Linked DNA regions of Macaca fascicularis. The protein of the gene in region 1 binds, or shares a complex with, the protein of each later gene. Links are inferred from orthologs where the notes say so. Each region holds a gene or a part of one and is shown on either strand. Other genes may lie near its edges. The genes, in order: ANKS6 and ANKS3.

Region 1 (3,809 bases):
ATACAAGTTACAGAGGAGGTGGTTGTCTTGACTCCCAGCCGGAGAAATGCTGGGTAGATTTACAACCCTTTTCTTGAAATTACCCACCGGGATCATTCAGCAGCATCACCAGGTCAAAGGCTGTGTATCCATTTTTTGCACGAAGAGTGACATCAGCCCCTTGGTTTAGCAGATATTTGACAATTTCCTTATTCCTGGGAAGAAAATGCTAGAGTTACATTCACTGAAAGCAAAAGTATGGCTTTGCTCCTGGGCAACAAAACCAACAACATTAACTACAAGGCTCAGTCTCTGAGCATTTAAGAAGGGCATGGAAGGGCAAACAGTCTCATTCTCTCATTCCCTAGCACGTGGGCAGGTCAAGCGGGAACATGATTTAAATCAAAGTCTAAGTGTTCCTTCCAGGAACAAAATGAAAACCGAGGCTAGATGTGGTGGCTCACACTTGTAATCCCACCACTTTGGGAAGCAAAGGCGGGAGGATGGCTTGAGCCCAGGAGTTTGAGACCAGCCTGGGCAACATGGGGGGCCTTGTCTCTACCAAAAATTTTGTTTAAAAATCAGCTGGGTGTGGTGGTGCAAGCCTGTAGTCCCAGCTACTTGAGAGACTGAGGCAGGAGGATTGCTTGAGTCTGGGAGGTCAAGGCTGTAGTGAGCCATGATCACGCTACTGCACTCCGGCCTGGCAACAAAGTGAGATACTGTCGGAAACAGAAGGGAAGGGGAAGGGAAGGGGAAGGGGAAGGGGAAGGGAAAGGGAAAGGGGAAGGGGAAGAGGACCAAACCAAGGGCTCTGCCCAAAAATCACTGACCCCATGGGAGACCCCACTTCTTCCACCCTAAACCAGGACATGTCCATTGGGTAAGTCTCCTACAGACCAAGGTGTCTGAAATAAAATTTCATCTTGGAATTCAATGCTCATCGAAGAAGAAAACAAACTGCTTTCAGATGACACAGGAAAGTGATCTAATCACCTAAAAGAGGGTAAGGAAAGAACCTCTAATTGGGAATCAGATAACTTAGCAGCTACAAGATGCCCACCCCAAAGAGGAGGCCTCCAGGAGGATGACAGCCCACCCTGCTGGGATGATCACATAAGAAGGGGTTCATAAGCACCCTGTAAACACTGAAGCTTATTCAAAAGGAGAGAGGTAGGACACATCTCACCATCAATCATCACAAGATGACAATGGTATGAATCACCAATGTTTACTTCATACAGGGGCTACTTAAGGAGGTCACTATATCTCAGTGTGAAAACTCCAATGAACCAGTCATTGTGTTCAACTGAAACCAACCTAGAGAACCTTATCTCTCTGCATAAAATGCTTCTGCTGCATGGTTTTTCATGGCCACTGGTGAAATTCTGTGATGGGAGAACAGGAAATCTGGACACAGAAGGGTGGAAATAAAATGAACCTGTGCCGCTTTCATTTTTTTCTTTTCTTTTTTTTTTTTTTTTTTTTTTTTTTGCATGCCTCAATGTCGTCACAGTCCTGGGGTTTGTATGCAGCATCTCAGGACCAGAAGAGCCCACTGGAAACCCCCATCTCAGGCCAGAACATATGTCTGGCCTTGTTGCTGAGGGCGTGGAGCTGGCACTGACCCATGGTAGGTCGCCTGCATGAGGGCTGTCCAGCCATGCACGCTGTCCTGCTTGTCAACATCCGCGTGCCTCTCCACCAGTAGCTGCACCAGAGCCAGCTGCCCTGTAACAGCTGCTAGCATCAGGGGCGTCGCCCCGTCCCCATTGACCAAGTTCACGTGGCTGGGGTCTTCATCGGCAATCTCTTTGACCAGCTGGAAGTTTCCTACAAACACAAGCAAGAGTCTGGGTGATCTGTGGGCCTGGGACCATAAGCTGATTTATCCTGTGGTTCACGTAACCAACACTTGCTGGCCCTGCCTCTGCAGTGGGCTGCTGGGCACCATAGGGGATACTAAGAGGGGGTCAGAGATAGCGCTGACTCTCAAATGCCTCAGTCTAGGCGGGACAGAGACAAGCACACGAATGGGTAGAAGTGTTACTAAAAGACAGAAGTATTGTTAGTGTCTTCAGAGAACAGATGAAGGACACAGAAGGCAGAAGGAGAATTCAGGTCTTGCTGTGGGGTGAGGATCGGGAAAGGCTTCCTGGAGGAAGGGTCTATATCAAGAGAGAAAATTTTAGGCTAAATGTCTCTTTGTCACAAAGAGACTGGAATGGGTATGCAGAGAGGCATTTCAGAGGCAGGAAGAGCTGGGGCATATAGCTAGCCAGTGTTCGGCTGGAGTGGGGCTGGAGGCCCTCTGGAGTCTATGTGTAGAGCTCCATAATAAATACTGGCCTCCAGGATCTGAACTTCCAAACACCAAACACCAAAATGCCTGTTTCTTTCTCAAATAACCTGGGTGGCCCTGCAAAGGACTACAAATATTAGGTTGGGAGAATGTAGTTCTGTATTCTTAAATATCCAAAAAGATCTTCTAAAGCGCTTACCCATTTTCAATGCATGGAAAATATCAGGTCGCCTTTTCTCTTCATCTGGGTAAACAAAGATTTTAAAAGTTAACCACGGAAAGGTTTAATATAACAGAAAAGTCACAAGGGTGTAACAACACAGCCTGGCTTTAAAAAGCATCTAATTCTCAAAAGCAATCTAATTGGAGACCTACGTAATGGACAAATCCAGCAGCCCTTCTGGAAGGTCTATTACCAAAGAACATCTGAAAACACTTCAGAGACAGATCTTGCCAACAAAACACAAAAGAGCAGCAGATCACGGCCCTGATCTCATGCAAATAAAGCAATCATTTTTAGGCAAAACAAATGTTGGCATATCCTTTCCTAGATATACTGAAAAGTCTTGGGGTCTTGGAAAATCTTGGATTCCTATGGACATTGTTTAAAAAAATTTTTTTTCTTCTAAAAACTAAACATACAATCATAATTCCAAATCTGCTGCTGACATACCGAGCAGCTGAGCTCTACGGAAGTTCACAGACACAGCCAACAGAAGAGCCAATGCTCATGTTTTCTTTCCCTCCCATGTAAGAAGCAATCAGAACATGCTCCCTGCCCCAAACCTGCAGACACAGCTGCCCAAAGGCCACTGCCCAACTGGGCATCTTCATGCTGTACCCTGAAGCCCAGCTGCTAGGTTGGGGCCAGACCCCATGCCTACCTGCACAGCTGAGCCTTGCTGCAGCTGCCAGATGCTAGCCCCTCTCTCACATGCTCATCCCACACCTTCCTCCAAGCCTGGGCCAGCAGGTACCCTGCTCCTGTCAGAGGAGGCATCCTCATGGCCAGTCTGCTTGCTAGGGGGCTGAAGGCAGGCCTTCTGCAGTCTTTAACTGATCCCAGGGGACGGAGCAGCTGCCAGAGGGAACTTGTGAATCTGGGCTGACTCTGGTCCAGATAAGCCCTCTTGAGCAGCTGGGAGGAAGCTGCAGCCCGGGGCAAGGAGCACTGAGTGTGGAGTCAGTGCATAAGAATTTCAGTGCGCATTTTTAGAGTAAGCTGCCTCTTCATCACAAATGTGGGGATAACATCCCTTTCATCTGGCTGTTGCAGGGATCAAATGATAATGTTAAAGCCCCATTCAAAGAACAATTATTTCTTTACTAGCAACCAGCAAGGTGGACCCCAGAATTCTTTTTATGAGATGGAGTCTCACTCTGCTGCCCAGGCTGGAGTGCAGTGGTGTGATCTCGGCTCACTGCAACCTCTGCCTCCTGGGTTCAAGTGATTCTTGTGCCTCAGCCTCCCGAGTAGCTGGGATTACAGGCACATGCCACCACACCTGGCTAATGTTTGTAAGAGACA
Region 2 (3,809 bases), on another chromosome or scaffold:
TGATCCACCTGAGATGGTCAGGCTGTTGTTTCTGCTTTTCTCTTTTTCTGCAATGCCACTGTGTGGACGCTGTCAGCGTGCTTCAGGGGGTCACGGGTTTCTGTTCATTTTTTTCACTCTTTCTTTCTGTTCCTCAAGCGAGATGATCTCAGGTGACCTGTGTTCACAAGTTTTCTGTTTCTTCTGCCTGCTCAATTCTGCTGTGAGCCCGTCTAGTGATATTTTCATTTCAGTTTACTTTTCAACTCCAGAAATCCTACTTTTGAGAGTTTATTGCTTTTAATGGAGAAACGAATGTTACTCTGCCATTTGCCTCAAGCTGTTTTCTGAAAGAAACATACTTAGGACACTACCCAGACCAGACTCCACTCAGTGTGTGTTGAAGGGACCGAGGTGTGCGCCTGTTCACTGAGCCGGGGGCTGCAGGGAGAAGCCGGCATAGCAAGGCTCTACTGAACAGCACAGCCGGTGCTTTAACAAATAACCAGCCATGCCGGGCGTGGCGGCTCATGCATGTAATCCCAGCACTTTGAGAGGCCAAGGCAGGCAGATCACAAGGTCAGGAGCCTGAGACCAGCCTGGCCAACACAGTGAAACCCCATCTCTACTAAAAATACAAAAAATTAGCCGGACATGGTGACACGTGCCTGTAATCCCAGCTACTTGGGAGGCTGAGGCAGGAGAATCACTTGAACCCGGGAGGCGGAGGTTGTAGTGAGCCGAGATCGCGCCACTGCACTCCAGCCCAATGACAGTGCGAGACTCCATCTCAAAGAAAAAAAAACAAATAACCCACCAGAGCTTCCCTCTGCCTCTCTTCTCCGTGTCTCTTCTGACTGCACAGGGTAGGAGAACTCAGCAGACACAGGTGACACAGCTGAGCTGTGAGTCACACCTGTCATCCCTAAGGTAATGCATGGTCAGAGGGACCACAGCAAGGATGAGGATGGTGGCAGCTGTAACCATCACCAAGCACACACCGTGTGTGGTCCCTGTCTCTGCTTCAGCGGCATCCCGTCAGACTCCCGCAGGCAGCTCTGAGGTCAGGTGTGTTTCTTCTCCCCAGGCTCAGGGGAGCCAGCTCCAGTATGGGAAGCAGGGAGACAGGTCCTTGGAACACAGCAGAAGCCGTGCAGCTGGGCCGTCAGCCACGGAGCCGGCCGTGAGCCTGCAGAGCCTACCAGGCCATGGGGACGCCACGGCCATTCCGTTCTCCAAGCAGCCTGGCACGTTACATACACAACACATGCCTCATAAGTCACAAAAAGTGCCGTCTCTGAGTGTAACCTCCAGTTTCACAAGCGGTCTTACCTGCGGTCCTGAGTAGGGGGCCCTCTGAGTCTGGGGGCTGGACTCAAGGGGAAAGTCTTCCCCGTCAGTCCCAGTGCGGGGAGGCCACTGGCTGTCAGGATTCTTGGTCTTCACGTAACTTTTAGCTTGTTTGCGAGCTGAGCTTTTACAGGCGTGGTCCGAGTCCTGCGGTGAGAGCCATGTATCTGAAGGAGCGCACGGACTGACTGGAGAGCCGTGGTGAACCCCCACCCGCCACACGGGCTTCCAGTGCATTCGCTGTCGTCTGAGAAGCCAGGCCCTGGACACAGCACGTCCCAGCGCGGCACACACGTGTAGCACGTGCTTGTTACGGACGTTCTCATCTTAAAGTAACGGGGATGTTAGGCATCCCAGCCAGGGACCGGCTATGGGAGAACGAGAAAGAATCCGCACCTCATTGCTCTCCACAGAAGCTTCGCTGCTGAGCCCCTGGGCTCTGGCCAGGCCCTCGCTGCTGCTGCTGCTCTGGACAGGCTCCAGGTTGGCACAGAAAGCATGTTCCTCTGAGGGCGGACAGACAGGGCGTCCGCCTGCAGGCCTCACCGCGGTGCTGTGCATGGGCGTGCCCCGGGCTGAGCCACCTCCACCAGGGCACTCCTTGGGGCCTGCCGCGGTTGCTTCCTTATGTTTCAAGCTTCCTGCCTGTTCTAAACCCTCCCCTCTATACAGACGGGCAGGGCTTGTTTTTTGTTCACTGATAAATCCCAAGCAGCCAGGGCAGGGCTTGGCGTACGGTGGGCACTATGTGAGCAGCTGCTGCACGGAGGTGCAGTTATAACAGGACATTCCTCTTGGAGCCTGTCCGGAAAGCCTCAGGGGGCTCCCAAGCAAGCAGCTAAACCTGTTGGTGTGGAGTGGCTCCCCCAGGCTGCACGGGGACGCTGGAACAGAAGCTTCTCCCATTCCTCACAAGAACCAGGGCTGCCCACGCCTCCCCTGTGCCTGTCCTCTGCTGGATGGCGGGGCTGTGTCCCAGCACCAAGCCCAGTGGATAAGTGGGGACGGGCACACAGGAGCTCCAGGACCTGCCCGAGCCGCGGGCTGGACAGGGGTGGGGGTGCACATACCCCGGCTGCTGCTGCTGCTGCTGCTCTCCACGTCCCGCTCGTTGATGGGGGAGGTGACGTCCCGGCAGCAGAGGCCCTCTTCTTCCAGGGCGTTCTCACCACTGCTGCTGAAGGTGACATAGCCCCGGGGAGGAGCCTGCTCTGTGTACAGAATAGAGCCCATAAGCCCAGGGAACTCCAAAGTGAAGCCGATCCTGGTTCCAGATGCCCCCACCGCCTCAGAGGCCAAGGCCCCGGATGGAGGCAGGCGACTTCCCGCTCATGACCTCACCTACTTGCCCCTGCGACCTGGCATGGCTCTATCTGTGGTGTGTGGGTGGAGAAGTCACTCTGAGGGTCAGTGAGTGGGCCAGACAAGTGCATGGTGGGGCCAGGGCTGACAGCCAGGTCAAGCCTGGGCCCTCTCCTTTGTACCGAGCAACCTCTTTTTCAAAGGGAAAACGTAGGAGATGGTAAGCTGTATTTACAGATGCCTGACCAGAGGAAACTACACCACTAGTGTTCCTTTTAGCAGGAGGTATCTAATGACCTCACACAGACACCCGTCAACCAGGTGTCTTTATGTCCCTATGACCTTTAACCATAGGCTCTTAGCGGGCTCCTCGGGCCAGTCAACCCCAGCGAAAAAGAGATCTGGCTGAGCAGGAAGGAAAAAGGCCTTGGGCTAAAAATTAACGGCAATAATATGATATTACCTAACTCTACCTTCCTCTAAAACCAAGCAGAAAAAGGGGCATGCGGCCGGGGGCGGTGGCTCAAGCCTGTAATCCCAGCACTTTGGGAGGCCGAGACGGGCGGATCATGAGGTCAGGAGATCGAGACCATCCTGGCTAACCCGGTGAAACCCCGTCTCTACTAAAAACTACAAAAAACTAGCTGGGTAAGGTGGCGGGCGCCTGTAGTCCCAGCTACTCAGGAGGCTGAGGGAGGAGAATGGCGTAAACCCGGGAGACAGAGCTTGCAGTGAGCTGAGATCCGGCCACTGCGCTCCAGCCTGGGCGACAGAGCGAGACTCCGTCTCAAAAATAAAAAAAAAAAGGGGGGGCATGCATACCAGGCAATTTCACTCCAGTTTTGCCCCTTTATTTATATAAAAAGACTGACTTGACCAGGCACGGTGGCACACGTCTGTAATCTCAGCTACTCAGGAAGCTGAGACAGGAGGATCGCTTGAGCTCAGGAATTGGAGCCTGCAGTGAGCTATGATCGTGCCACTGCACCGCAGCCTGGGCTACAGTGAAACCCTGTCTCAAAAAAGAACCCAAAGGACTGGTTGGTGGGACCATGGGGAACTAACTTACTTCTTTACATATTTTCCTAGTTATGGAGAAGTTTTTACAATCAGCACGTGCTATTTATCATTGCCCCCTAAACTTTTTTTGAGTCAGGGTCTTGCTCTGTTATATAGAC

Evidence for each region.
Region 2: the proteins of ANKS6 (region 1) and ANKS3 are in contact, whole or in part, in a crystal structure (PDB 4NL9), measured with the Homo sapiens proteins. The link is inferred for Macaca fascicularis from reciprocal best matches to the Homo sapiens genes ANKS6 and ANKS3. Residues at the interface, in NP_775822.3 of Homo sapiens: Glu796, Gln797, Glu798, Val799, Asp800, Glu802, Ala803, Thr806, Leu807, Asp811, Glu814, Leu815; in NP_597707.1 of Homo sapiens: Lys441, Tyr442, Thr470, Leu471, Phe472, Gly473, Pro474, Arg476, Lys477, Arg484.

The regions. Positions count from the first base shown.
Region 1 is NC_088389.1:59,343,529-59,347,337, reverse strand, and holds part of ANKS6 (ankyrin repeat and SAM domain-containing protein 6), read right to left. Parts: intron 2,526-3,809; coding exon 2,481-2,525; intron 1,813-2,480; coding exon 1,608-1,812; intron 195-1,607; coding exon 88-194; intron 1-87.
Region 2 is NC_088394.1:5,514,374-5,518,182, forward strand, and holds part of ANKS3 (ankyrin repeat and SAM domain-containing protein 3), read right to left. Parts: intron 2,541-3,809; coding exon 2,400-2,540; intron 1,836-2,399; coding exon 1,726-1,835; intron 1,477-1,725; coding exon 1,312-1,476; intron 158-1,311; exon of another isoform or gene 1-157. UniProt on the Homo sapiens protein: May be involved in vasopressin signaling in the kidney.